Lepisosteus oculatus: one gene and its partners. The protein of the gene in region 4 interacts with the protein of the main gene of each other region in a pairwise test. Links are inferred from orthologs where the notes say so. Each region holds a gene or a part of one and is shown on either strand. Other genes may lie near its edges. The genes, in order: tle5, junction plakoglobin-like, cerebellar degeneration-related protein 2 and ntaq1.

Region 1 (7,750 bases), on a different chromosome or scaffold from region 4:
CCGAGACCTCTGAGCACCTCAGCAGCGCCGGATCTTTTCCCCAGGAGGAGGACATGAGCTCCACACCAGCGCCCCCACGCCAGACACAGACCAGCTTTCGGCCCAGGTTTCAGGCTGGGGTCCTGAGTCTTCGGGGTCCCCCTCGGGCCACTGCTGTAGGGACTGTAGGGTGTGTGGAGCCTGAGGGGCAGAAAGCACGCTGGGCACTGGGCCCCGGGCTGGTACCCCCCTTGAGGCCAGCGGGACCAGTAACTGACTGTGGCGAGTTAATAACAATAATAATTATAATTATTGCTTACACTTATATAGCGCTTTTCTGGACACTCCACTCAAAGCGCTTTACAGGTAATGGGGATCCCCTCCACCACCACCAGTGTGCAGCCCCACCTGGATGATGCGACGGCAGCCACAGTGCGCCAGAACGCTCCCCACACACCACCTCTCAGTGGGGAGGAGAGCAGAGTGATGAAGCCAGTTCAGAGAGGGGGATTATTAGGAGGCCATGATTGGTAAGGGCCAATGGGAAATTTGGCCAGGACACCGGGGTTACACCCCTACTCTTTTCGAGAAACGCCCTGGGATTTTTAATGACCACAGAGAGTCAGGACCTCGGTTTTACGTCTCATCTGAAGGACGGCGCCTGTTTACAGTACAGTGCCCCCGTCACTATACTGGAGCATTAAAACCACGTGGACCGCAGGGTGAGTGCCCCCTGTCGGTCCCACTAACACCCCTTCCAGCAGCAACCTTAGTTGAGGGTTGTTGAGATCTGGGGGTGAAGACAAGGAGGAGCAGTAGTGACACTCCAGGCGCTCACAGGTGAAATCACAAGTGACACAGCACCAGGGTCCCAGGCTCCATTCCAACCTCAGGCACCTTTCTGTGGGGAGTTTGCACGTTCTGCCCAGCTCTGCAGGGGCTTTCCCCAGGTGCTCCAATTCAAGGTGCACAGGTAACCTCTTCATCCTGGAGAGGAGGACGACTGGGACCCCCCTCTTCCCGAACCTCACGCATCGGGAGTTTCAGAACCTCCACACACAACGCCGGGCTTTCCTGATCCTGTCGGGGGGAGGGGGGCATCACATTGCTCAGCCCCTCATGGACCCCCTGTTAATTAATCAAGCGTATGAATCGAAAACTGACGGAGATCCAGATGATCAACACAAACCAGGCGACAAAGACGCCTTCTTCTGGAGCTGATCTGTGGCCGGACTCTGCGGGTCTATCCTTTCTTCAGAAAACGAGTAGAATTAATTTACATTCTATACCTGTCTTTCAGCGCCAGCTGGAGATCTGAGCAGCTCTGAGCCCCCGGACTGCAGCTCCAGAGCGAAAACCACGGCCAGACGCACCACGATCTAAAATGATGTAATATCAGGCTGAGACGCCATGAATTAATGTGGCCTGCGTGCGTGTTTCTTTCCAAGCTCACCTAATCACAGCCGAGGAAGGCTGTATAAATCTCATTAATAACAGCCGTATGAGCATTTAAGGTGCTGCAGTAAAAATGAAGTACGTTTAAAATGTAAGCCAATTGGAACCGGTTAAATTTAAATAAACTGTATTAAACTGGACCGGTTAATGCGGAATTGAGGAACATACCCTATAAATTACAACACGGCATTGTCTTAAGTATTTTAATTTCATATTTTGGTCAACTTTCGAGGGGCGATATTCAGTTTAGCGTCAGTTTGATGAAGTTATCGTGAAACGCGTGTGTCCCTCATCGTCCGCCTGCTCTCTTCAAGATGGTAGCTGTTACTGTCGCGGACGACCAGCGGGAGAAACGCGTCTCGCCTCCTCCGGCCCCGGGTCCAGGGGAAACCCCCCGCCCGGGCCCTGGGGGTGACTCCCTCGCCTCTCGCCCAGACGAGCGGCCCGCCGGCGGCGGCAGGGACCCCCATCCCCGGCCGGGGTCCCCGGGCGAGCTCGCTGCGCGCGAGCGAGGACACGGCCATTTTGTGGAAGTTTTGCAGAAATAACGTGTCGTTTCCGTTCGGGCCGCTTCAGGCGCGGATCTCGCCGGAAAGGCGGCCGGCTGTCCGGGGGGCAGCGGCGCGGCTTCAGTAGTAGCCCCCGGGCCGCCGCCGCTGCCCCCCGGACGTGCGCTCACGCAACGCCAGGTTTGCCCCCAGCACGGCGCGCGCTCCCCGGGGCAGGAGGGGCGACCCGCCGCGCGTCTTAAAATGGACCCCGGCGGAGCCGCGCGGCGCCGGCGGCCGGGTCCCCGAAATGTAAACAGCTGCTGCCGGAGGAACGGAGGGGGGGGGCGCGGGTGCACGCGCTCGGGGTGCCCCCTGAGCCCGGAGGAAAAACACACACTCACACGAGCGCGCGCACCCACACTTCGACGCGCGCGCGCGCGCGCAGCGATTTTAAACACGACGGCACGGCGAGAGCGGATCGAGAAGGAGAATAAAGACGCCGAGACTCACCGAGTGTCTGGATTGTGGAAACATCATGTCAGTTTCCTGTTGTTAATTCCTTCTGCCGAACAAAGACGAAAGCCGGGGTGAGGGACCTGGAATCGCTCCCTTTGTCTCCCCGTGTCGGGGACGGAGGTGCTCGCGGCGCGTCGACGCCAGTCACCGCAGGAGACGAGCCTCGCTCCTGTTTCTCAGCCCTGTGTTCGTCTTCCCAACCGGCCCTAATGTATCCCACTCATACTGCGGAGCGCTGGGGTTTCTGTCCTTTGTTTTAAGAGAGAAAGTCTCGGAACCGTGTTCTCCTCCCAGACGGTCCAAAGTTTGAACAAGCAGCGCTGCTCCTGCGCGGCTCCCTTCCCCGTGACTGACAGAAACGCAATCACGCTGCTCCCCGCAGCCCTTCCCTGCCTCGCCGTTACTGTCTGCCGGCGCACGCCGTCCTGCGCCTGCTCGGCAGCGGGCGGATGAGCTGGGCGGACGTGTTTTCAGAGCGCCCTGCGGGTCGTGTGCGTGGGGCTGCGCTCGCGGTGTGGGTGCCGTGTCTGCTGACCGACCATGTCGCCGCCGCGCTCGAGCTCTGACACCACGCACGAGCCGCGCGGCCCGCGTGACGCGGGACTGGGGCGGCGCTGCGCTCGGGCGCGCTCGGCAGGCCCCGGCTGCGCTGTCGGGTGGGTGAAAACACGAACGCTTAGCGGAAGTGTTGCCGTCTAATGTGTCCCCCCTCTCGCCCTCCTCCCGGCCCGCGGGTGCGAGCTCTGTTCCTCCCCGCACACCCGTGGGGTCCAGGCCAGGGGTGCGGGGGGTCTAGTTACTGTGAACTACACGCGTTTTCAATTGCTCGGGGGGATTTTAAGTCCTCAGGACCGGAACCGTCTTTTAACCCTCCTAGACCGCCATGATGATTCCGCTGTGCACTGGCTGCTTAAACGACGTCTGGCTGTGGGTATCCCAGCGAGACGATTCACCTAGATCAATTCGAGTAGGGAGCAGCGTCGGCCGCAGAGGAAAGGGTGAAGGTGTTTTCCCTGCTGAAAAGAAAAGAAAGGAAACACAGCGAGGCGTTGTGCCGAAACAAATGTCGTGTTGCTTTTTTCTAACCTTCCAGCAGAGAATGAACCTTCACCTGTTTGGATGAAGCTCTGTGTGTGGACGAGTACTCTGTGTCTCGCATGGGGATGTTTCGTGCCCTGACGTCTGTAGGTTCAGAGGAAGTTGTGAAAGAGGAGTATGTTTCCCGCAGGCCCAGCACAGGGAAGCGCCGATCAGAAGGAGCGGTCCGAGCGAGTCCAGAGCTGTGGTGCTGTCTCAGAGGTCCACTCTGCCCGCCCTGCGGGACCCAGCGGGACCTAGCGCTCCCGGCTGAAAGCAGAGCACTGCCTGCTGGTTCTGCGAATGAATTTTTAATAAGACAAGGCCAGAGTCATAACTATTTAATGAGACATAATCTGTACTGCAAATAATTAATCAGGAGCTGTCTGTATGATGCCACAGCTGATGGGGAAATAACTTTTGGCTGCGGTTTGAACAGTACAAGGGATGGAGTGGAGTCAACTGAAAGGCCACTGTATTGTGTACAGGACTGTATCACTGTACTGTACTGTGTGTTGGACTGTATCACTGTACTGTACTGTGTGCAGGACTGTATCACTGTACTTTGTGTAGGGCTGTATCACTGTACTGTGTGCAGGACTGTATCACTGTACTTTGTGTAGGGCTGTATCACTTTACTGTGTGCAGGACTGTATCACTGTACTGTGTGTAGGAGTGTGTGAGTAGGACTATATAACTGTACTGTACTGTGTGTAGGACTGTATCACACTGTACTGTGAGTAGGATTATATACTGAAGAAGGCTCCACAGTTGAAACGTTGTGTTTTCTTTCTTCTTTTTTTCAGCATGGAATAAACCTATTACTTGTTCCTTTGCAGCCTACGCATGCTGACGCAGCTACCCACCTGAACTTATATAACTATACTGTACTGTGTGCAGGACTGTATCACTGTGTGAGTGGGACTGTATCACTGTACTGTACTGTGTATAGGACTGTACCATTGTACTATATTGTGAGTGGGACTGTATAACTATACCCACTATGCCTTCCTCTAAATCTTTCTCTAGATCTCTTCGTCGTTCCTTCTCTTCCTCCCTGGGCTACCTGCTCCCTCTCTCACTAAACCAGCTTTCCGCCTCTTCACAGCGATCTGTTCCAAGATCCAAGACCAGGCTTTCTAACCACCTTCTATTCCTTTACAGATGTCGTCGTTATAATATCATTCCTAAAGGATTTCGCCTGAAATTTAACACTTTTTCTTTGGACTTGTGTAATACTCGGAGACTTCTATAACAGTGTTAGCGGAAACTAATGCTTTCTACCATCCTCTCCTTCAGACAACAGATGACCCTTCCTGGCAACAACATCAAGGAAGCCAAGGCATTCTTACGGCTCACAGCTGCATAGCATCTTCTCTTCATAACAAACCTCATCAGATCCCTCAACTCCCAACTCCACCAGTTCCTCACTTCAGAGAAGGGTAAAAAACTCAATCACACTCAATCCTCTTTTCACCACCTCAGCCAATCCTAACCTTGTGGTTCCTATACCCTCTGACCTCTCTCTTTCACAGGATGAGCGATCTCTTCTCAGCAGAGCCCTGTTATGTTCCAGACCCAAGAAGCTGGACATCCCGCAAACCCAAGTCGACCTCAACCGTTTTCACCGCAGGATTCGGCTCAAAGCTCATTTTGCTGACAACGCCTCCTCACCTCACTGATGCCATTAACAATATAAATCCTAAACGGAGCTCTTGGACTCCCCCTTCCGGCCGGTTTCCACCAGTTGATTACTTTATTAACCAATGCAACAATCAAGTTCCCAAGACCCTTTCCAAACCCAGGAAACGCAGGTCTAACCTCACCCAAGGAGAAACTCAGGCACTCCAATCTCTCCGCACCAGGGATGAGATGGTCATCAAACCAGCAGACAAAGGAGGAGCTGTTGTGGTGTGGCAAAAAGACTTGTACATTAAGGAAGCCTCCAGACAATTATCCGATACTTCTGCCTACCGTCCTCTCCAACAGGACCCTACCACTGACTACCAGAAGGAAGTGGTATCCACTGTCGCTCTTCTTTTCAGCAACCAGGTGCTGCCCCAGGAAGCGAACCGTCTCATCGTCGAACATTCCCAAGTATTCCAATTCTATCTCCTTCCCAAAATCTAAAAACCCGACACCCCTGGACACCCCATTGTCTCAGCGTGCAATTGTCCGACCACACTCAGCTCTGCTTTCCGGGACAGCCTTATGAGACCTCTGGTTGAAATGCTTCCCTCATATATCAGGGATACGAACCATGCCCTCCAACTTTTCAATGATTTCCAATTTCAGGGTCCAGAATGCTACATTTTTCCCATGGATATCACGTCTCTCTCCACCATCATTCCCCACAACGACGGTCTTACAGCCCTCAAGCACAAGCTAGACAAACACACAGTGCTTGACCCTCCCACCCACACTCTAGTGCGTCTTGCGGAATTGGTTCTCACACTCAATGCCTTCTCATTTTATAACCTTTTTTTATCAGCAGGTTAGTGGAGTTGCCATGGGCACCAGGATGGGACCCAGCAGTGCCAATATTTTTGTCGGCTGGGTAGAAGAACGCTTCCTCACTTCCTACACTGGCTTCATCCCTGACCTCTACAAGTGATACATCGATGACTGCGTCGGTGCTGCTATCTGCTCTAATGACCAGCTAGAACACTTCCTGCATCAATTCACCAACTCTCACCCTTCCCTCAGATATACAGTTAACATATTTTCCACCACTCTTCAGTTTCTAGACATAAATGTATCTGTCCACGTCTCTCAACCTCGGTCTATTACAAACCCACAGATTCACACAGCTATCTTCTGTGCAGCTCTTTTCACCCCACTCACACCAAAAACACACCAGACCCTTTCTCACAGTTCCTCAGGCTACATCGACTCCGCAGTGACGACATGGGTTTCCAGAACCAAGCACTCAAAATGTCTCTTTTTTCATCAACAGAGGATACCCCACCCATGTTATTGACAGGGCTCTCACCCGGGCCAAAAACAGCCCTCGGATCATCAACTCGATCAGGAACTCCCCGTCTCACAACCCCATTCCTTTGGTGCTTCCCTACCACACACTTCCTACCCCCAGAACCATTATTAACAACTTCTCCACTTTACAGGGCGATCCCTCCATCGGTACCCCTAACCGCCCAATCATCTGACAAACCAATCTACGTAAACGTCTTGTTCACAGCTCCCGTTCGCACTCGGCAATCCCCACCAGGCACCTTCCCCTGCAACAGAGCTCGCTGCATCACCTGCAAATACATATCTAACAACACGCTCATTCAGGGCCCCTCAGGTCACTTCCAGATCACCCAGACGACATCCTGTACCTCCAGCAACCTCATTTACTGTATCTCCTGCAGAAAATGCCCAGCTATCTACGATGGGGAAACAGGAAGGAGACTAGGAGACGGCTTCAGAGAACATGTTAGGGCTGTGAAGATTTAAGATTTCTCAAAGCCCATAGTTTCTCAATGCACCTCAGACGGCCATGATCACACCGATCTCTCTGTCCCTGTTGTCAAAGGAGGGTTTCTCAACTCCCACAGCAGAAAAACTACAGAAACGAAACTCTGAATCTAGGTTCACACCTTCCCCCTTCTCTCAACGACAGACTTATTTTTGTGTAATCTTTTCTATCCTCATGCTGGTTCTGACTTCACACCTTTCTTCACCCCTCTCCACTTTGCACTTCCTGAGCGGCCTCTCTGCCTCTCTGCCCTTCCTGCCTCCTCCTCTCTCTCAGCTTTTGTTCTTCAGTGCTATTTAATCTTTGCTGTCAGCCCTGTCTTTCTCATACCTGAAGAAGGCTTCACAGCCGAAACGTTTTGTGTCTTCTCTTTTCAGCATTGAATGTACTGTGTGCAGGACTGGATCACTGTACACTATTGTACTGTGTAGAACTGATTCACTGTACTATACTGTGAGTAGGACTGTATCACTGTGCTGTACTATACTGTACTGTGTGCAGGACTATACCACACTGTATTGTACTGTGTGTAGGACTGTATCGCACTGTATTGTACTGTGTGCAAGACTGTACCACACTGGACTGTACTATACTATGAGTAGGACAGTATCACACTGTACTACACTGTGTGTAGGACTGTATCACTGTACTGTACTATGTGCAGGACTTCATCACTGTACTGTACTGTGTGTAGGACCGTACCACACTGCACTGTGTGTGGCACACTGTGTTGCACAAAACATTTTGGATG
Region 2 (7,891 bases), on a different chromosome or scaffold from region 4:
GGACCTGGCGAGTCTCACAGTGACAGCTGTGGCCTCCCCCCGCGCGCCGGCCCTCTGAGTGCAGCCTCGGGCCAGCTGACCGGCCGAGACGTGGCTTCAATGTGAAACATTGAGCTGCTTGGCCACCTTCTGAAAACCGCCGAGAGCCACTCCGCTGCTCTGGAGAGGCTCCGATCGGGGGGCTGACCAGCACCCCCGCAGGGAAGGAGCCGACACCTGGAGTCTCGCCAGCCCTGGCTCGCCTCGGTCACAAACGATGTGAATCCGAAACCCGACTGCGACTGCAAGCTGCTGGACACCGTGCCCACGAAGGCTCACAGACACTGAGCGAGTGTGAGCGCTGTGTCCCAGCTAACAGTGGGATGAAATCGCTGTGTGACTGGACATGCCTCTCCTGTCTCTGCTGACGATATCAAGCCACAGTGCAGAGCTCCCCCTCCCCCGAGAGGAATCAAGCCCGCAGCTTGCTTCCTCTCTCCATCCTCCTCCTCGCTCCTGAAGAACCCGCGGCTCTGGGGGTCCCCTCGCACAGCTGCTCAACAGGGAAGAGACGAGCTCTCTCGCGCACGTGGGGGAGATCAAACCGCTGCAACAGGGGCAGAGGGCACCTGGGGCCCCCGAACCCACAACCTGCCTCACAGAGCCCACTGCTTCTCCTGGGCAAGAGGAGCCATCAGCATGACACCTCAGATCAGATCACGTCATTGGCCCTATACAATTTCTTGTATCAGGAATTTCTTTTCACAGACCCCAACTTGCTCTCCATGAGACACACAGACAGGGAGAGAAGCTGGGGGTCAGAGCACAGGATCAGCCATTGTACAGTGCCCTTGGCACAGCTGGGGTCAAGGGCCTTGCTCAGGGGCCCAATGGAGTAGGATTCCTCTGCCGGCCGCGGGATTTGAACCGGCAACCTTCCAGCCACAGGTGCAGAGCCATCGCACCTGCCCCACAGAACAGCGGGCATGCCAGCAGTGGGCTCAGCAGCTGTCCCCCCACAGTACAGACCAGTGCCCCACAGGTGCAGAGGGAGATCGGTCCCTGGAGGAAGCCTGTCAGGCCATCCCACCAGCACTGGGACTGGAGCGCGACAGGACAGGGTCGCTCCTTCCTCCCAGCGCAAGAGGCAGGCAGGCAGGCTCTGCTGTGGCCGCGGAGGGTCAAGAGTTCACAGCTGCCTCCTGCCTCACCGCTCTCTGTGCCTCCGCAGCCCCCGGTCGCTGCTCTGGAGGCGCCGACTGCAGCTCCACGATGGAATGAGTGGAATGCGCCGCCCCCTCGCGCAGAGGGTCCTGCCAGCCGCGCGCGCTTCTCCGGCAGCCTCACAGCATCGGATCTCCGACTCGAAACGAAACAGGCTCGATTTAAGGACCTCACCACCCCTCAGTGAGGAGCCCCTGCGCGCTTCGCTCTCGTCACTCGTCAACAGCCCGTCCGAGCTGGCGGACCTTCCGCGTCAACAAGACCAGGTCGACACCTTCCCCCGCCCCGCAGGCGCCGAGACTCCCGTCTAAGGTGGACAAGTCTGGACGGGTTTATAATCGGGTAATCACTGCGTACAGAGAAGAGGAACGCTAACCGGGGGAGCCCGCACCACTGGTGTCGCTGAAGGTTCAAACCGCCCCAGAGCACAGAGGGGGACGAGTAACAGAACCGGCGAGGGCGGGAGGTCCGGTTCGGGGACGGTCTGCCGCCCGTGGGGGTGGGGCTTGTTTACATTGCGACCAGCCCGGCCGCTCGGAACAGCCGCCCCTTACCGTCAGCTCCACCAAGAGCCGCAACAACGTGCAGGCGCTCACGACAAAGGCGGAGAAGCGGGGGGCAGCACACTGGAATCAGAACCGAACCCCTTTGGGCTGGACGACTAATGCACAAGATAAACTGGAGACTTCAAAACTGCGGGTGATAATGTAGTGCGACTCATTAAAGGGACTGGAAATTCACACGTCAAATGTCGCTAATCAGTCGGGAAAAGCCAGGGGAAGTTGACAAAATGTAACTTCTGTGCGGCGGCGCCCCCCTCCCCGGGAGGCAGGGAGAGGCGCGCTTCCGTCTGCACCAGTGCTCGCCCACCCCCCCCCCCCCAGCTGCTCCCACAATTGCTCACCGCGACGGGTGGGCGCGCCTCACCGCCCGGAGCACACGGGTGTGCGCGGCAGTCCGGACAGGAAGAGCCGCCCTGCTCAAGCACAGCCACACAATGAGGACTGCTCGGCAGAACCGAACTGCGGAGCGCAGCCAGGGACGAGCCCAACAAACTCCGGTGTAGTAGGGGAGAGCTCCCGCCCTCGGTAAACCGCGCACCGTAACTCTTCCAGCTTATTTCTGCTCAACACGTCGGATCGCCGCTCAGACTTACAATGTTGCAACTTTCTCCAGCTGTGTGGACCGGGAAAACTCCCCGCACACACCAGCTGCCCACGGCCCGGCAGCACCCCACCTGTCTCCCAAGAAGAGCCGAAACAGCTCCCATTCAGACACGGAGTCTCGCCTGTAGCTGCACAGTTACTGGCCATCTTAATGCTCAAGGCAGTGACAGCTGCCGAGACCGTCCTCAAAGTTTCCACACACCGGCGCAACATTTTCTTTCTCCTTCTCGGAATAATAACACGAGCGACACCCTGGATAGAGATTGCACTGGAAAAGGAGACAGACACCGATAAGCAACACGTCCACATTGTCCGAACAGCAGGCTGAAAACAAACACCGTTCCCACATTTCAACAGACTGCAAGCAGCCGCATCAGGGAGAAACTGGGAAGCCCGAGCCCCTACCGAAGCGCTCGCACAGAAGTACAGACCGCATCCTCGTTTAGTACAAATACTGGCCGTCGCTCAGGAGAAAAAAGACAGTTAAACATTCTCTACCTTTGAAAAAAGATAGTCGATCTCGTCCGTGAATCCAGGAACTCGGCGAACGGGGTAAAAAAAAAGTTTGTTGCACAGCGTTTCCGCCACAAATCCCCACAACCACCAGACTCCGGACCCGACTGAACAATAACCGAGAGACAGCGACGCTCTCCTCCAGACACCGCCCACACTGCCTCGGCCCGCCCACGGCTCGGAATCCGTGCGCCCATTGGGCGTTAGGGCAGTAAGGGTGTGTCCCAGCGCTAGATGAGTGGCAGGAACGTGGCCAATCGCTCTTAAGATAAAACCAGCGGAGCGCTCAGTCTTGATGTCAATCATCTCTGCTCAATAAAGACCCGCCCTTCAAAGCTTTTCATTGGTTGCTGGCGTGTGGGGGCGTGCACGGGGGGGCGTGTGTTACACAAGGCGTTGTCACCTCTCTCCACAATGCCCCGCCCCCTCGTGTTTTTCTCTCGTGAGATCAGGATACCTAGCAAAGGTAAAGTGGAAATGAGCCACACCTGTGTGACGTGATGAAACTGTGCCCAGACAGGTAGTGAGTCACAGGCCTGCTGGTAAATGAACACAGTCTCAACGCCATTAGTACTGCCCCTTGTTATCACGAACAAGACTTACGACCTTATGAACACTTCAATATGACCTTTATCCGCTTGTGTTGACCAGAAACTTTGAGGTCGTGTTTTCTGCCCCGTGCTGAAGAGAGATGAAACTCGTGCTCCCAGCAAAGCCAGTCCCCAGGGCTCGCGCTGGGACTGTGGCTCCGGGATCGAGGGCAAAAGCAACGTATTGAGCTTTTTGCTTAAATGAGGAAGAACTGCTAGAAATGAATTTAAACAAATTGCATGCGAAGGCAAACCATACGTTGAATAGATCTGCTAATTCAAATAATGCTCGTCAATGAAAAAAAAAAAACAAATAATCCATCGATCCGTTCTCTAAGCATATTATCCAGTTCAAGGTCGTGGGGGAGCCCGAGCCTATCCCAGCAGGCAATAGGCACGAGGCGGGGTACACCCTGGACAAAACACCAGTCGATTGCAGGGCACGCACAGACACACTCACACCAGGGCCAATTTTCCCAGAAGCCAATTAACCTTCCAATATGTTTTTGGACTGTGGGGAGGGAACCAGAGTACCTGGAGGAAACTCACGCGATCCTGGGGAGAACATACAAACTCCTCACAGACAGCACCCCAGGAATCCAGGGCCAGAGCTCTGCCCTCAGGAGTTCTGTAACAAATAAGTTTATTGCTAGAGTCTAAAATAAAACAAAGTGAAACAATACAGTTTTCTGCACACAAAGTCCTGCTCCATTAGTTAAGGGTTAAGGGCCTCACTCAGGGGCCCAACAGAGCAGAGTAGGATTCCTCTTGGGATTTGGGATTTGAACCAGCAACCTTCCAGCCATAGGCGCAGATCCTTAGCCACAGAGCCACTGCTCCACCCAAACATAATGAATTAACACCTAATAATCCACTCGAGATACAGACTGACACTGGTCCCGCCCTGGAGCTCACAGACAGCACCCTGCCCTGCAGCCTCTGCCCTGGTTCACAGGCTGCAGCTGACAGGTGTGGCGTGGGAACGTCAGGCCCTGGCAGGTGTGGCCCTCTGTGTTACCTGTGCGGAGGCTCTCACTTGAGTTCTCATTCCCGGAGAAGAGAGGCTTACTCAGCAACAGTGCTTGACAGGCACGTTTTCTCAGTGCTCTGGTAGAGGACACAAAGACCCTGATGTATTTGTTACTGCTGAGTAACAAATAAGCCGAACATGGCTCGAATATTGGTGGGTGTTCATTTTTAGCTCTATCTGCCCGTGTAGCAGAATTCTTCATTTAGCTTTAAATGAAGAGAGAGATAACAAGAACGAGGCTAAAGAAAGAAAAATAAGAATACAGGTCCTGCAGAAATTAGAGAAGGACTATAAATATCTTGTCTCGGGATTCTTCGCTCTGCTTTCTGCTTGAGCTGGGGGGGCAGCTGCAGAGAAAGCAGATCTTTTTGGGGCGCAGGGGCAGCAGGTGCCAGCAAGGGGACTGCCTGTCAGGGAACAGGCTGACGAGGACTCAGGAGCTCAGCAGGGCCGGGAGCATCAGTCCAGGGTTGCTGGGTCTGCTCCATGACCCTCCTTCAGACCAGTCCCCGGAGAAGAGCTTACTGCCCCCAGCCCTCCTCTGCACCCCCGGAGCCTGCCGTGCGGAGCCGATGTGCTGCTGGCCCGAGGCCTGAGTCCTGAGCTGTTGAGTATCTCAGGCCACTGGCGTCCTGCTGCTGCCTCAGGGCTAATGACAGTGTGTGCAAGAGCTGCCTTTCCTGTTAGAAAAACAGGCCTGCGGAGATTTTCATTATTGTGTCCTTCCTTTGGCTTTTGAGTGAGCATGCACGGTCTTTCGTTGTTTGTGCAATAGCTGCTTTCCGCTGGCCTGGCCCTTATTTATTTCATCTGTTTGTTTATTCCTCCTTTCATCTGTGTTCAGTTTGACTGAGACGGTGATGGAAGTAAAGTGGCCTTCTGGCAGATCTAGTGAAATTACTCACGACGCAGGACCCAGAAGCCCTCTGCGGCTATCACAACCTTTTGAAAAGAGATGCATCAATTATTCTTAGACCCCTTCAGCTATAAAGAACAGCAGCTCTGCTCTCTGCTAATTTCTCTGCACATAGAGGTTTAAGAACCACCTAAAAAAGATAATTAGAAGAGAACAGATTAGACACCATATAGAGATTTTTTATTATTCTAATTTGTTCTTAAAGCAGCAAAAGGGAGAGGTGGAAATTAATTATCTCTTAAGCACACTGTGCTGAAAGCCAGAGAACAAGCTTCTGAAAGGAATAAAAAGCTTTTGTTTAAAATCTTAAATTAGCACTAGAGTGCTGGGGCTTCCATGCTTCTAATTTAATTGTGAATTCTATGAGAATTTAACTCACTTAAATCTGAGGCTATCATTTCAGATCTGATTGGGTGTCTCCAAACTGGGATTGAGACTGGACAGACCGGCTTTTCACACCCGACCTGTGTCACGAGGCTGCTGTGTTTCTCTAGCGTGGGGAAGGGGCTGAGCTCGGCTTGGGCGATTCTTGCCAAGCTTGACTGGACCTGACTGAGAACATTTTCCCAAGTGTGGCCACAGTGGGGACACTACTGCCCCCCCCCAGCCTTCTTTTTCTAAGGGTACATTGAAAGTAAAGGTGAAGTCCATCTCAGGGGCACCCCAGTATCTGGGAACCCCAGAGAACCCCCCGGACTACGCTGGCTGTGTGCGGCTGGCCACAGATGTGCTGTCGCTGCCCCAGTGACAGTGCTGGTGATGGAGCAACGCTGACTGGCCCCTGCAGCGGCCCGGAGGAGCCCCGCTGACTGAACTGCGTCCGTGCTCTGGGCTGCTCAAGGAGGAGGACCTCAGGGCGCTGTGTGGTACAGAACAGGTTGAGCAACACTGATCTGCTTGAGTCCACAGCCAGCCGGCAGGCAGTCAGACAGTCAGGGTGCTCCAGCGCCCTGCACCAGCGAGGCAGATGTTTCCAACTGGGCTCCGTCCTGGAGGAAACAGTGCTTCCCGTTGCAGGGTTGTTCTCCGAGGCTGGGTGCGCTGTATGCAGACAACAGGAGAGCAGGATATTGTCTTGGGGAAGGATCTGGGGGGTCTGTGTGAGTGGAGTAGCGTCAGGGGGCGAGAGCAGGGAATTCGTTTTTATACACAACAGAGCTCATTGATCCAGAAGCTCCGCAGCTCTCAGGCAAGGCGGTCTGGTCTGTACGCCCGCGCCAGGAGCAGTGTGCGTGACACAGAGAGCCTTTCCCCGCGCAGGGAGAGGGAAGAGCCGAGCCACCGGAGAGCAGAGCCGGGTCTCTGGTGCTGGCGGGCTGGGCGCTGCTGACCAGAACCCACCTGTACAGGTCACTGCCCAGAGCTCACTTCAGTATTCCCAGTCCAGAGTTGATCAAATTGAGAAACAGGGTACTGCTGTTAAGATGTCTGTATTGCTAAAGACAGTTACATCTCATATAAATCAGTGTCATTTTTAATACAATTAATTTAATTGCATGAATAACCATCTCTGTCTGCATCAATTGTCTACACTCATGCCCCATGTTGCCAAGTTTGGAATAACAGATTTAAGGGTCCACATTTTGAGCTTCTGACTGTACCTCTGATTTGTACTCTACACATCCTCCCCAGGTAAGACTGAAAAGGATCACTGCTCTCCCTGAGTCAGGTTTGTTCTGGGAATCAATCAATCAATCAATCAATCTGGCAGGCAATCCTCAGAGCTGATAATTAAAAGTTAAAGAACCACTGAAAGACACTGAAATACACTTTACAGTCTGGGAGCGTATTCTCAGCTTGGAATCAAAAAAAGACTCCAGGCCTCAAATCACACCCCAGCACAAGACTTTTGTTTTCTGTTTCTCTTTCTGGCTGAGGTCTGTCACCGGGGTCCTGCAGTGTGAACCCGCTGTCCCGGCCAGGAAGCCCTCCTTCTGGACCACCAAGAACGTATTACTCCACACTCCGCACTCCACAGGGAAACATTCCCCACGCACTCTGAAACTATACCGCATGTGTTGTTATTGGGCAGCATGACAAAACATTTGCATGACCCTTACAAATACCTGCTGTGGTGCAGTAAGGTGCAGTGGAATCAAGTGCAGACGGGTGTGTGTGTGTGGTGGGGGTTACATCGTACCTCAAATCACAAAGTCTGGTGGACACTCAGGAAAACTCATTCCCCACTCTCGCCCCCTGACGCTACTCCTCTCATACAGACCCCCCAGATCCTTCCCCAAGACAATATCCTGCTCTCCTGTTGTCTGCATACAGCGCACCCAGCCTCAGCGCGGCTGGAGAAAATGAGCTCTGTGCCATCTCTGTGAGGGATTCTTCCTAATGTGGTGGTTGCACTGCAGTTAATTAAATCCAGAATCCTGCACGCAAACACCAGCGATTCTATGAAGTGTGATTTGCATTGAAAGTATGTCAGCCGCAGTGGGACTGAGCTCGGCTCTGGTGGTGGCTGAGC
Region 3 (7,244 bases), on a different chromosome or scaffold from region 4:
TTCTGGGGGCTCGTATCACAGATGGCAGATTCCTTCCTTGTGAACATGTCCTTTCCTGCCTGCGTTTCCTTACGCCTTGAAAACCCTTCTCACTGCTCATCTGCTTTGGGATTCATGACCTGCAGCAGTATAAACCTGCACTTTCTCTGTGCAAAAGGTTATTAGATACATGAAGCAAATCCTGCAATTCTGATTTCTGCAGACTATCTGTGCCGGCGGCACACAGCGCCTGTTACATTGCAAATGGAGAAAAATCTATATTTAAAATAAGTGTCATAGCTAGGGAACCTGTCCACACTTCGTTTGCATTGTCCATTTAAGTGACCTCAAGTTCTTTTTCCACTGGGTGTTGTATTCATAAGGTGTGGAGAAATATACCTCCAGAGTGTGAAAGCAGGGTACTCTCCGTCTTACAACTAAGTAGTAGCTGACGTCTATAATGCCTATTTATGGTCTCTCTCTTTAATTCTAGGTTGTGTCTTACTTTTTTATTTTTGGTAGTTAAATCATCTTGGGGTGTTAGTCCAGTAGGGTCGCTACAGAGCCAGCCAGACCTGACAATTAAGAAATGCGGTTTTGCAGTTACACAGTGTTGAGAGGGAAACTGGCCTGTGTCTAGTTTGCCCATCTTCCTAAGTAGAGGTGCAATATCTTGCATTGCTCAGGACCTGCAATCCGTTTTCTGCCAGCTCATCGTTTCACAAAGAGCCTCGTTTAAGTGGCGCTGGCTCACACACAGGGGTCTGCCTGAGGCTCGAAAACTCAACCGTCTGATCGCCTTTGCCTTGAGCATCCACCATTGACACTCAGGAGAAACGCACTCGGAAATTCACCCTCTACAATTTACTTCTCGAGTCAGAATCCCAGAGGTGCAAACAATATCTGTGAGGCATTTTAGAGACAAAGCCACATTTCTACTTATTGAATGTGGAAGCATAAAGTGAGCAACAATGGTTAGCCCAGGTCTTCTGAAGTCTGACGGAACTAGTATCAGGCAGACAAAAGTGAATGTATTGAGATGAAGTGGCAAACAGAATTGTTGCTGAGGTTTTTAGTGGTCTGGAAGTGACTTGCAGTTCGATACTGTTTTACACCCTAAACTGGAAAAGGTGAGAGAGCAGCTTCTCCTTGCGTTAAAAAAACCCAACACTGCAAATGATTACAGCCTACAGCACAAAAACACCGATTTCATTACCTCCCAGCAAAATAACTTGGAAACACAGTGAGACGTTTGAAGCCGAACATGTCAAGAACCCAGAACTGTGCTGCCCAAGTAACTGTAACGTAAAGAGAAGGTCACGAATCTATAATATTTCCTTGCACTTGTATAGTGCTCTTCAAAGGATCCCCGAGCGCTTTGTATACAGGAGGGGACCCACTTCGCTGCTCGTGAGGTGCAGCACACAGCACCCTCACCGCACAGCAGGTCAGGGGGAGCACAGAGAAATATATCCTCAATTATTTTTGCATGTCGTGAGGTTATAAATTAGTTCATTAAATGGGTGCACATTGGTCGTAAACATTCTTATCTCGGGGGATGCTAAAAGCTGCATCTGCGTCAGAAAGCTGCCTTGTTTCCAATGGGTTAATTTCTTGATCCAGGAAATGCGAGCGCAAATTCACAGGGAAACCGCAGCTATCTCAACTGGGAGCCGAGCGACACATCGATGCAACACTTGTGTTTGCGGTGAATTTCTGTTCATCGAAAAGCCTTAAACTCGGTTATATTTTGAAGAGCTCTGACCATTTCTCGCGGCTAGTCAACGACATCCTTCCTTACAAAAACAACGTGCAAGGAAGAAGTCACTGCTCTCGGCAGCTCAGTGCATGCTCCTATTAATGCCTTCCGAGCATGTCATTGCTTTTTCGAGCACTTGGGCGGTCCAGTCTAGCTTGGCTTTGCTGCTGTTGAAATCGCGATGACAAAGGAGTCAGATAAGGCTGCTTCCTCTCTGAGCTGCAGTAGCTGCGGGGAAGAAGTGACCAGGCGAACAGCTCCCACTTCTCACGGGAGACGAGCGGCTTGCGAATGTGGCCGAATTTATCGACAAAAAGGGCTTTGTGCGAGATCCGCCGACGCGACTCAGCGTTTCCCAGATTATGCTGCAATTCACATTCAATTCTAAATCACACCCCCGGCAACGAACATTTTCACGCCGGGTCGGAAAAAAATAGCAGAACATTACTGCTAAAACACAACACTGTCGTGGAGTTTTTAAACCCCCGACCGTCCGCAGCACTGCGGTTTAACCGCGTTAGGTTAAAGCAAGCATGACATGTATATATATACTTGCTTTTAACATCTTCTTTTACATCGATCTGTAACTAAAAATCAGTGTTCATTTCTTACAAGGGAAATGCATCCCCGGGAACGCAAAACAAAAACGTGAGGACAGTTTTACGAAACAATGTAGACGCTGCATGAGATTTTTTGGGGATGGGGACTCGCTTTCAAATGGGCGGCTCGGTTGTAAACCAACGTTTTGACAGGCGACACTAATCATACAACAGAAACGCGCACGTCGCCCTTAGAGGCTTGTTTCTGGGACGCATCTCCCCCGCTGCCCGCTGAGCGCACAGCCCCGGGCGATGGGTGAGCCCCGGCGCCGCTACCTGGCTCGGCTCTCTTCAGCACCACTGAAGAGGAGTTTAAATGCCCCAGCCCTACCGTGCTCCAGGTCCCGGTGGTCATACCACGGCTCCTCCTCCTTGATCTCGAACTCTTCCTCCACCATCATATCGGTCAGCATGTTCGCGGCCGGGGTGGGGAGGACGACGACTCTGGGGACTCTTGTCCTCCGCTGGGCAGTTCTGTCCCGTCCTTTTTTCCTCTGTCTCGGAAGAGCGGGCAGCTCCTGCTCCTGGGTGCAACACACACACACACACCAGCACGCTCGCCGGCGACTGAGCTCGCGACGCTCTGGAGCCTCCAGCGGCTCGCACGGGCTGCAGCAACGTGGCACCCAACCCCTGCGCCGCGGCGACGTCAGGAGCGGGCGTGTCAATGGGAGCCGACGTCACTTGATCGCTTGGAGGGGGCGCATTGAAACGCCGGGGAGGCGGGTCCGGAACGCCGGGCAGCGTCCAATCACCGCAGGCAGGGGGAGGGTCTCAGGTGGTGGGGGGTGCCCCGCCCACTTCCGCGATACGCGGGCTCCGCGCGCGCACACAGCTGAGCTGGCTGCGAGGATATCGAGAAATCGTAGGTTCAGTTTTAACTCATTCATTTTTAATTAACCTTTGATCAAAGAGGAGAAAATAGGAGTGTGCGCAAGAGAGCCACTGCAGGAGTCGCCATTGCTAGAACCTTAGACTTTACGACCCATGAAACTGCATGTTTTTTTTCTGAAAACAATAGCAGTGGTTTGAAAGTCTTTTTGTGAAGAACTTCCGTTGTAGTTGTTTTGTGTCTTTTCACAACTAATGAGTTATAACCGTCGACGCAAAGGAAGCTCGGTTTCAGAAATTGTGGTTTTTTTCTTAAATATTTGTCATAAAAACGCAGAAATGTATCAAAGGAATCGATTGACAAGAGGGGCGGGGTTTCAAAGTGCCAGTTACTGTTTACTGCTAGTGTTTGTTGGTTTGTAAAATGCTTTTAAACCTCGTTTATGTTAGAGAAATATATATTTGTTATATATGTTAGAGAAAAATACACTGACAAACCACAGCCCAGGGAAAATCTGTTTATATGTAGCCGAGGGAGTACAGTGACAATAATTTACTGTGGTGTTTACCGTGATTCGCACCTCTCAATGAGGTGAATGCAATGGGGTTTTTATATTGTGCATGATAGTATATTCTTAAGAGTAGGAGTGCCGGATCTTTCAGTTTTATACAGCTCATTTCACAGCTTCTGGGGCACAGCATGTTGTGTTGTCAGCCTGGCTTTAATGGCAAAACTGACAATTCCTGCAATGCCCACAAACCAGCCTGACTTGTTTCGGGAATCCTGTTCCTTGAACTTAATGACTGGTTGTGCTTAACTAAAACCCTATCACTCTTTCCCTGTTTCGTTAGCTGTATTATGAGATCGCACTTAAATACCCCCGTATTAATTCATTGTTTGTCTGTTATTAGCCGCGCTAGCCCTCGATAGCTCACGGTCCGGCGTGCGGGAAGGCGTCACGCGTGGATGAGCACCCGCGCCAGGGCGCGCGCCGCTCCGGGGAACCCCGCTCAGGGCTCTCGCGGGGGCGGAAGGGCGGCCGGTATGCGGCTCCTGGCGAGACTCGGGGTCCACCCGGGCGCGCTGGCCTACTCCATGACCACGCTGGGCGCCGGCATGATGAACAGCATCTTCAGCTTCTACTACGTCAAGCTGTTCCTGGACAAGTTCCAGATCTCGGAGTCGGCGTTTCACCAGGCGCAGGCGAGTGCTGACCCACGGGGCTTTTCCACGCAAGTCGCACCCCCAGAGCAGGGTAGCGTGCTGTAGCCCTTTAGCCCTCGCTGACCTCGAGTTGTCTTCTTGCATGAAAAAATCAGTACTCACATATGCTGTACTGTAGGCTAGCATTGTCACCTGGCTGGTGGGGAGATGAACTCTGAGTCTGCAGTGTGAGGTCACTGCCCCTGCTCTTCAAAGCCCCGATTCAGAGTTTATAGATGTTTTCTGCTGGCGGGATCTTCAAGTCCCTGCAGGACATAAGGGGTGGAAGGTAAATGCCCTGCCAGTCCGAGCGACGAGGCACCTGCTTGAAGGAGATGAAACATCTCTGTGACCATCTCCGTTTACTACAACTAAAGGGTTTAGGAAAAAACTACTACAACTAAACAGGATTTGGAAAAATGGAACTATATATGTTTATAGTAGTATAATATGGAAGTTTTGGTTTTAAAAAAAAACACTCTGTAGTTGAACAGTCTGAACCTATAGGTTAATTATACCATGGGAATTTGTGCCTGGGGGTTCTGAACAAGGAAAGAGAGAACACAGAGATTGAAAGTTATGAATTCATGCAACTCCTTATGTCTTCCTGGGCTGTTTCCTCCTTTAGCATTCCTTCTGATTGTTTGTCTGTTTGTCTGTGTCTCTCTGAACATCCTGCTTGTGGCCTTCGGGAGCAGCTGATCAGATCCCTGTGGTGTCAGGTTTGTGTATTCCCTAGACACAGAGGTCTGTCCGTACTCTCCCCACTGAGGAAGTGCGAGATGCTACAGATACCCTTATTCATGTAACTCTCCTCCTCCTGAGACTCGTCCCCATGAGTCTTACTGGCATGGTGGGTGTTTTGTGCCTCACGACAGCAGAGAATCGGCCTCCCATGGATTAGAAACATGACATCAAAGGTGATTAGGTTAGTTCAGTGTTGTGCTATGTAGGTCCTTAGCTGTTGGCGTCCTTAAAATAGCTCCTGCGCTTTTTCAGTGAGTGCTGAGAGGATTTCATTGTGTGCTGTATCCAGGGCAGCAGAGAAGGAACACAAGGCACCTTTAGGTTAATTAACAAGCCAGGGCAGAACTTAAACTTGTTCCTCTGCCTCAGGAAACAGAGTGCGCTTTTGAGAAAATAAAGAGCACGGCGTGCCAGTCTGCCCAGTCTCCTGTTCCAGAACAGTCCGCTCTTTTTTCTCAGTGCGCGTCTCCAAACGCGCATGATGAAGACCCACCCCATTCGAGTAAGAGCTGCAGGATTTAGCCGCCTGTGTACCACCTTTCCCCAGCGTAACATTTCTTAATAAAAATCACATCACAGCTCATACTGTCTAATTCCGGTCTGCTGTTCGTCCCATCAGCCCATCTACCCTCTTTGGGTGACAGGGCCTTCTCCTGCTGCATCCCAAAGCTCTGGAAATCTGTCCCAAAGGACATCCGAGAGTCACCTTCCCTGAACACTCAGATCAAGACTCAAAGCCTTCTTCAGAAGGGCTTTTATTGAACTGGCTCTCTGTCTGCCCCTTTGCTTCCCTGCTGTATTCCAAACCCTTAGTGCAGTTGTGTAATTCTGCACATTGAGAAGCCACTTTTAAAGGTGCTATACAGTATAAAGTTTATTGTTATTATTATCACTAGATGAAGGCTCATAGTTATTGTGGATTCTGCTGTGTTTTCTGAAGAGGGCGAGGGAACTGAGAGGGGATGGTCTGGCCCATCTCGTTGGTCTGAGTGTGAGTAATGTAGTGACTGACTCTCCTCCTGCGCGCAGCTTGAAGTGTCCCTTCCTCGTCCCGTGCGCTCTGCTGCAGGTGATCTACATGGTCTGGAACGCCGTGAACGACCCCCTGTTCGGTTACGTCCAGGACAACTCCGGGATGCCCTGCTGCTCCCGCCGCCGGCTGGCCGTCCTGTATGGGGCGCCCTTCTACGCCCTGGCCTTCCTGCTGGCCTGGTTCCCGTGGCGCCCCTACGCGGCGGGGGACTGGCTGAGCGGTGTGCACCTGATCGTGGCGCTGTGTGCCTTTGACGGCATGCTGACCTTCGTGCTCCTGGCCCAGTGCGCCCTCTTTGCCGAAATATCTGTCCAGCACGAGAGCAGGCTGAAGCTCATCAAGTACAACCAGGTGGCGTCCCTGCTGGGCTCCTCCAGCGTGCTGTTCTGTGGGCTGATGTCTGGGAACATGGATAACTTCCCTGCGTTCCAGGCCTTCACCGTCGCAGCCGCGGCGCTGGCGTGCGGCTGCATGCTCTACACGGGCCTCCACAGCGAGAGCCGCTACGCGGGGCGGGGGGGCCAAGCGGAGGAGCAGCCTCCGGGGGGCGCCGCCCTGTCCCTGGCCTCGGTCTGCTCCCTGACCTGGCAGATCCTGAACCAGAGGGACTTCCAGCTCTTCGTGACCATGAACTTCTTCCAGGTCTTCATGGTGGCGTTCTGCAACAACTTCGCCATGATCTTTGCAGAGCACCTCATTCCCAGGGAGGTCTTGCCCTCGCTGGCCAAGAGCATCATGTATGGAGTCGGCTTCATCTGCCCACAGGTACCGCAGACCAGCGCTTGGTAACGGGCATCGGGAACTGGGGGATATTTTGACTGGTCAGGGGGGCATGCAGTCATACAAGACAGTTTTCCTGATGAAAAGCACTATTACTGTGGTGCAAATCCAAAATCAAAACTTCATGCTATACTCTATTACTCTACCCTATACCCTTATTCCTGGCCTATCCCCTAATTCTACATGGTCCATGTGTAGATGTAATATAGCCTCCCTTATTAACCCATATGCCCCAGCCTTCAAAACCGTCTGCCTGATCCGCAGTGCTTCTCCTTCTAAGCCCCGTGTGTTTTCAGGTGCTGGTCCTGGGCT
Region 4 (7,207 bases):
CATCTGATTGAAGGGCATCCCTTGCGTACACAGCGAATGGACAAGGGTAGGTCAGGACGGTATCCAGATCGTAGATATAAGTTTGGCCCTCACGGCTCTCATGGAGCAGGATAACATGGTAGTCCTGGGGAAGAGAATAATGTGTATATCAGTTTGGATTGATGTGTCCGCAGGTCTGCACTGCAACTCAGACGTTAAATAGATAAATCAGCTAGTTACCGGCTTAATTAGACAGTGCATAATAGCTTCCCATAGTTCATCATGCCTTAAAGAAATGCAGACACACTGGTCATCTAGGACCTTGATTGTATAATATCTTTAATATACATGTCATGAAACTTGAATCAGGAGAGAACTGTTTATTCATCATTAATCCTTTGCTCTTCCTTTCACGTGAAACACCCACCCACCTAGAGAGCAGGATTCAGTGAGCTAGAGATCTGTTAAGAACCAAGTTAGATTAACAAAATAATTCAAGATCTCAGACAGGGAGAGCTGTTTGCCTTCTCTCTCACTGCCCAGATACGAAGTTTATAACAGAGGTTGGGGAGGAGTGACAACAGCCAGGTTTAATCAGCCTCAGCTGTCAGTAATTCTCTTTTGTTTTATTGTGTTGATTTCTCATTTGGGGGAACACGCAAATTTAGCACAGGGATAAAGGTTTTATTAGTCATGCCATATCTGTTTAATTTTGCTGGGTTACCACCAGGTGCATCTGAAATGGCACTCTCTAATGCGACACTCATCTTGGGGCTCAGGATGAACAGGGTTCTTATCTGTGCAATTTACCCAAATTACTGGCTTATCTCCTTGGCTTGACTTCTGTTTCCAGATTGGAACCTGAAACACAAGACAGACTGTACTCCATTAATACGTCATTTACAGCTTATTGAAAGAGAGGCAGAAAACAGACACATTTTAAGTTAATCAACATATAAAATGAAAATTAATTTCATGATTTTATTTGGAGGATCAAATTGTCTGTGCTGCAAGTGTCCCAATTACTTGAAATCACTGGGTTGAAAATAAAGTTTCTTTTTCATCAAATGTTAGCAAACATATGAATGGTGCTTCCTAAAAATAAAAAGTATTGTAACGCATACGGCCACCATTGGTTGTGAGAGCCGGCTTATCCGCGCGGTGACGTCACCGCCCTTCCCTGGGAATAGCAGGGACCGTAGCCACTAGGCTGATGGGAGATTTCCCTTTAGTGGCTGGGTCCCTGTTGAGTGACGCTGGAGGCCCGGGTTTGAGTCCCTGACGGTGGGGGGCCGTCCTGAGGCGGCAGCGGCGAGGGCGCACACCCACGCGAACCCCGGGGCGTTACAGTATATAAGATTGGACATGCCAATCATAGCAATTTCATGATCACAAATACAGACTGGCAATAAAGCAAAAATAGCAGTTTTGAGATTGTTGTCCCAGTAATTTGGGTATTGTGTCATACTGGTGACACAGAGTTATTTTTCTCTTGATTTAAGCAGAGCGTAGCAGTCATATGCGTTTTTTCTTTCTATTCATTTTCCTCCACCTTGGCATTCAACAGTTTTAATGACTTTTGCTGAAGTGCTGAGAGGTTCCAAGCTGGGCACCATCTGAGCTGGATGCTGCATCTCTGCCATGGATCCAAGAGGGAGATCACGAATATACTGTAGCTATAGTTCAGGAGAATTTGCTGGTCCACAGATAACTGCATGGAGTACTGGCACACAGAAGGACATGATGGAAGACTCAATACTCCACATTTAGTACTCTTTTGGAATTGTTTAATGTTAGCATGCCCAGAGGGGTTGGGCAGCCAGTTGACCTTGGACCCCTAGAGTTTTATTTTCTCCTTACAGAGGAGTTTTTGGTTCCTCTCCTCCGTTGTCTTCTGGCTTTTTCTCTTTCTGGACTGTAACGTCATGTACTGTCACACTGATATGTGCCTTGGGGGCAACCTTGTTGTGAAAGGTGCTATATAAAAATAAATTGAATTGAAATTGAAGTGTGAAACAGACATTTTTGGAGAAGAGAGCTTGTGTCCTGTTTATTCTAGGAAATGTGCTCATCGCCTGTTACCAATCAGTTTTCATGTAACAAAGTCATTCGTGTGTTTCACTCAGTCAGTATTAAATGATTACAATGATGCTAAAAACAATTAAACAAAATCAGAAATCTGCATACCGTCTTTCCAATCAGCAAAAACAGAGCTATACATTGTATATACATTATATACATTGTGCATATATTCCTAGACTTGGTGAAAACAGGGGTATATGTGACAGCTTACCATCTTTCTTTCGTTGGATATAAACACTGCATAAACTCCATCCTCAGGGTATTGTTTTCGAGTCATAATGTGTTCGCAGAGCTTCCAGACATTCTCTTCGCTGACAACAAAAAAAGAGTTTAATAGTCTGCATCGGTAGATTGGCAGGCGACTAGAGGTAATGTAAACTAAATTCATCATTCATGCCCTCAAATAAAAATATAAAACAGGAAAAAAGAGCGCTACTGTAAAGATTAAAAAGGGGTTATGCACACCGTTAAGGGTACAACATTCCGCAAAAAAAAACCCCACAGTAACAAACTTAATTCTATTCGTGACAATCCGGATAGCATTTAAAGGTTCCTTCAAAAGCAAAAGAAAAACCTTTTAAACATCGAAGCAGAATTCCTCTTAAGAAAAGGCATAACAGGACAATCAACTTTAGTAAATAAAAACACAAATGTATTCACAGTCCTGCCGCACAGTTTCATTGATAGTAATACAAGAGACTTATCAACAGGGTAGCGTGAATACCCTAATATCTGCTGTGGATAACTCAATTGTCCTCACCAGTAGCAGCTTGTATAGATGCAGTCTTGTCTGGAAGGTGTAATACTGCAATAATGAGATGATTCGTTTGTATTATTCATGACTCGAGGGAAGATGTCAGGGAACAGTAAAGTGAATTCCTGACTTTCTTGACTTGTTCATCTAAAAAAGGAACGTAACATCATGCGGACGTTAAAAACAGGGGGACTGGATATGTTACACCTTTATTGCTCCGGGTGGCAAACAACTTTTATGTAATATGTTAACCTCTTGGTGGATATAAATTCAGACTGTTTTCACCCGCTTTTTATTGGTAAACCTTTATGTATAACCTGACTATGAAAAGTATATTTAGTGTTATGCACAAATGAAAGATCAAACACTGTGGTTCAAAGCTAAACATTTCTTACAGTCATCCCTTTGAATACAAAAGCAACGGTATAGAGATAAATACTTAATCGAACTTTAACTTTACGTTAACCATAGCAATCAGAAACAGTCGTTTATACAGACTCGATATATGACTACAATAAAAAAAACAGTTTCATCGTTACTAGTTCGCGCCAGCAAACCTACTAGCTTGGTTGTTTCATACTTGATAAAAGTACATGACGTCCACAAATACAAAATAAGCTTGTCTGAGCATGGCGTTCAATGAGTTTGTGAAATCCCTCTCCTCTCACTCATTAAATTTAAACAGGCTAGCAGTTTTCCTTCTTAAAAAATTGTACAAAATCAGCCAGAGATGGCTTTTATACATACGAAATGCAATCCTCTATAAAACTATAAACAGAGGTTCCCAGGGTCCTTCTGCCTTATTTCTAGGACGATAAATAAACTGAATTAATCCCAAATTCATTGGTAAGTTTTCATTATTAACGTATTCGCTGGTTTTACCACGAACACTAAAGATTTATGTGCACAAACTGAAAGAATGAACCTCGCTTCTGTATGTATTTGAGACATGTAAGGAATGTACATTTATTTCATAAAGTGCAGCTTTCCTTTTGTTCTTATTTGCCCCTCTTAGAGACGCCTGTAACTGTGTAACGCAGATATTCAGAATGCACTGCAACAGAAGGCTGTTTTGAATTGACAGCTCCCGCGTTTTCCCTGAGCCTCACGTGCTTGTTATGACCTCGGCTTGGGGGCGGGGCCTTTGTTATTAGCCAATGAAAGCTCCTCGTGTGGCGTTGTTTACTACGCGCCAAAAAGTTACCGGGGCACCCTTTCAAAATAGATCACTACGCAGGATGGAATAAAATTCTTAAGGTGTTTAGAAAACAAGAACGACAGGACGCAGGGGTGTCATATAGAAATTCCTTATCGTCACCGCCATTTCAGCATAGTGTGGTCAGAAACAGGACGTTACTTTCCAAAGTGAAGAGGGTGTACCTACGTGGCCTATTTCTTGCTTCGGAGCAACATACAGGTAGTGATCTGACTTTCTGTGACGTTTGTGGCGCCAGAAATCAAGGGCTGGAAAAACAGAAAAAGTGAGAGGTTGTCTGCTAGCGGCAACTGTCCGGCCACTACCGGAAAAGGGACATGAGCGGATTGTTCCTACTCTGAAACCTCTTCACTTTTCCAACACGTCCGTTGACGGTCTGAGCAGGAGAACGGGGGGCTATAATGGTGATGTTGCGCAGCAGTGCGGGCGCGGACCCCGCGTCCCCGAAGAAGCTGCCGGCGCTGGACTCGAGCGCCGAGTTTCTGTCCCTGACGTCCGCGCGGAGACGCTCCGCGCGCTCCAGGAGGGCCGCGGATGACAGCTCGAGCGGAGCCGAGAACACCCCGACTCGACACGTGAGCCTCCTGTCCTTTCGCGGGTTACCAGAAATAATAATAATAATAATGATAAAGCTGTTAATGGGAGGGTGTGTGCGTCAGGAATGACAGCTGTTTTGGACTAGACGAGCTGCGGTTTCTTCCCAAGAAACTGTCTGAGTCGGGGGCTGACAGCTGGCCCCCAGATCAGCCGGACACTTCGTGATATAGGGAGCCTTGCGTGTTGGCTCTTAATCGCAACAAACTGATAACAACTGGACTACGGCGTCGGTTTATTCTTCTGGTCGCCCAGAGCTTTCTCAGATCAGATGATCTGGGCTGCCTGACAGCATCACTGACTTCTAGCAAAGAGAGTGAGAGTTGGGATGACGTGTGAATTAACAGAGGACGAAACCCGGTGCACAGTCCGTAAAATTCTTATTTTGCATTTAAACAGAGAAACATAAATGCAAAATACTAAGGTTACTGACAGTTTTCCTTCACGCGTTATACGACTTGTTTTCATACCGGCCTATCGGTAATTAGCTTCGTTTTCGACCTATCAAAGTTCAGTTTCCATGTCCATGTGTTTTAATTTAGAGGCGAAGAGGTGAGCGTGTCCGGGTCATCAGAGCCCAGTTACTAACCTTACGACTTGACTGAATAAAGGAGATCATGTCAAAATCTGCTGCTGGCTCGGTTGTCATACTGCAGATCCGAGGATGAATAATTCCTGAGGTGGACAGTAGTGGACACCTGGAGACGAAAGGGGATGATTTTGAAGTTACTGCGAGTAGTAACGTCAGTGCCAGCTAAACGTTAGCAGAAAGTCGTGATCTCTCCAGGCACAGAATGCAGTATCTAAAGCGTGTCTTTAAAATAGTTACTCCCCATCGTCGTAGTTAAGAAATTGTCTTTTATGATTTGTTGAACAGTAATCTGTCGCTGAAATTTGCACAAGTGCTCCCATCAGTTGGTAACAGCTCAAAGCTGTCCAATAGCTGGCCAAAAGTTGTAGGAGCAGATCACAGAAGGCAGTGTTATTAAGTGAAAAAAAGAAACCTTAAATGGAAATCTTAATAAAAACACGACCTGGCAGCGTCAGTGATTATGTTGCTAGTTGACCTGTGTCCAGTATGTCTGGAGCCTGATGTTCTGAATCAATTGGATATTGCAGCAGCAGCCATTTCACCCTGCAACTCACAACTGGCAGCCCTCTGAAGCTCAGCAGGTGTGAGCCTGGTCAGTACCTGGATGGGAGACCTCCTAGGAAAACCTAAGGTTGCTGCTGGTAGAGGTGTTAGTGGGGCCAGCAGGGGGTGCTCACTCTGCAGTCTGTGTGGGTCCTAATGCCCCAGTATAGCGACGGTGACACTGTACTGTAAAAAGGCACCGTCTTTTGGATGAGACTTTAATTCAGGGTCTTGACACTTCTGTGGTCATTAAAAATCCAAGGGTGTTTTTCGGAAAGTGTAGGGGTGTTATCCTGGCTTCCTGGCTAAATTTCCCATTGGCCTTTTCCAAACATGGCCTCCTAATCCCATCTATGAACTGGCTTCATCACTCGGTTCTCCTCCCCACTGATAGCTGATGTGTGGGGAGCGTTCTGGTGCACTATGGCTGCCGTCGCATCATCCAGGTGGATGCTGCACACTGGTGGTGTAAAGCGCTTTGAGTGTCCAGAAAATTGCTATATAAGTGTAAGCAGTTATTATTATTGTGCTGTAATGTGGTCAATCAGATTTTAATTTTGGACAGCATGATATTGCAGCAGATAGCATTGCTGCCTCTCAGCACTGCGGCCTTAGTTTGAATCTTGGACCCGGAGTTCTGTCTGCATGGGGTTTGTGTGTTCTCCCCGTATTCTCACGGGTTTCTTCAGGGTGCTTTCGTTTCCTCCAAAACATCTATTAGTTGGTTAATTGACTTCTGGGAAATTTGGCCCTTGTGTGCCCTGTGATGGACCCCACCCGCCTTGCTCCCGTTGGTTGCTGGGATAGGCTCTGGCTCCCCTGTGACCCTGAACTGTGGTAGAAGCGGTTAGAAAATGGATGAATGGATAATATATAAGATCTCTGGGTGAAAGGCCTGCTGCACGTATTTAGGGAACTACCCTTCGAGTGTGGAACTTAATTTACAGGTGAAAGCTATGGAAAGAACTAGATCTGCTATTTTATTGTAACTTTTAGGTACATTTAAACTGGTAAGCCAGTAAGATTTCCTCTTTTAATTCAGCTTGCTGAGATACTGTATACTGTTTCGTACCTTTGTTGAGAGGATGAAGGCATTTTACAGCTGGAGTCTGATTTTTATTACAGTCAACGATTGTAAGGTTGGGCTGAATAGAAACAGAAGGAGCCTCATCAAGAAAGACGTTTGTTTGGTATGACATTGTGATAATCTTCATGCACAAATGTGAGGAAAAGCGCATCTAGAATCTAGGAAAATGTGTTTTCACCCAAAATCAATTCTGCTTTCTTGTCTTATTTTTTTTATAATAAGAAATAAGAAATGACACATGTTTTACAAAATTTCCTTTGAATTTAGAGCCATGTATCAGTAAAGGATGAAGAAAATGTAGCTGAACTATCTCTAAGGAAGACAAACGGGCAGAAGGAAAAGCAAGAGGTGTCTTTCTCT

What was found.
Region 1: the proteins of ntaq1 (region 4) and tle5 interact in binary tests that used the Homo sapiens proteins (3 or more experiments, as listed by UniProt). The two-hybrid records come from large-scale screens. The link is inferred for Lepisosteus oculatus from reciprocal best matches to the Homo sapiens genes NTAQ1 and TLE5.
Region 2: the proteins of ntaq1 (region 4) and junction plakoglobin-like interact in binary tests that used the Homo sapiens proteins (3 or more experiments, as listed by UniProt). The two-hybrid records come from large-scale screens. The link is inferred for Lepisosteus oculatus from reciprocal best matches to the Homo sapiens genes NTAQ1 and JUP.
Region 3: the proteins of ntaq1 (region 4) and cerebellar degeneration-related protein 2 interact in binary tests that used the Homo sapiens proteins (3 or more experiments, as listed by UniProt). The two-hybrid records come from large-scale screens. The link is inferred for Lepisosteus oculatus from reciprocal best matches to the Homo sapiens genes NTAQ1 and CDR2.

What each region holds. Positions count from the first base shown.
Region 1 is NC_090724.1:9,409,152-9,416,901, forward strand, and holds the start of tle5 (TLE family member 5), read right to left. Parts: upstream 3,003-7,750; 5' UTR 2,463-3,002; coding exon 2,436-2,462; intron 1-2,435. UniProt on the Homo sapiens protein: Transcriptional corepressor. Acts as a dominant repressor towards other family members. Inhibits NF-kappa-B-regulated gene expression. May be required for the initiation and maintenance of the differentiated state.
Region 2 is NC_090723.1:10,149,749-10,157,639, reverse strand, and holds the start of junction plakoglobin-like, read right to left. Parts: upstream 3,015-7,891; 5' UTR 2,868-3,014; intron 1-2,867. UniProt on the Homo sapiens protein: Common junctional plaque protein. The membrane-associated plaques are architectural elements in an important strategic position to influence the arrangement and function of both the cytoskeleton and the cells within the tissue.
Region 3 is NC_090714.1:16,649,089-16,656,332, forward strand, and holds the start of cerebellar degeneration-related protein 2, read right to left. Parts: upstream 3,002-7,244; 5' UTR 2,751-3,001; coding exon 2,669-2,750; intron 1-2,668. Other genes in the region: mfsd13al (transmembrane protein 180-like), read left to right, coding at 4,136-4,372, 6,189-6,917, 7,229-7,244.
Region 4 is NC_090705.1:10,684,830-10,692,036, forward strand, and holds the start of ntaq1 (protein N-terminal glutamine amidohydrolase), read right to left. Parts: upstream 3,001-7,207; 5' UTR 2,902-3,000; coding exon 2,822-2,901; intron 2,373-2,821; coding exon 2,273-2,372; intron 841-2,272; coding exon 790-840; intron 125-789; coding exon 1-124. Other genes in the region: ATPase family AAA domain-containing protein 2, read left to right, coding at 4,433-4,606, 7,115-7,207. UniProt on the Homo sapiens protein: Mediates the side-chain deamidation of N-terminal glutamine residues to glutamate, an important step in N-end rule pathway of protein degradation.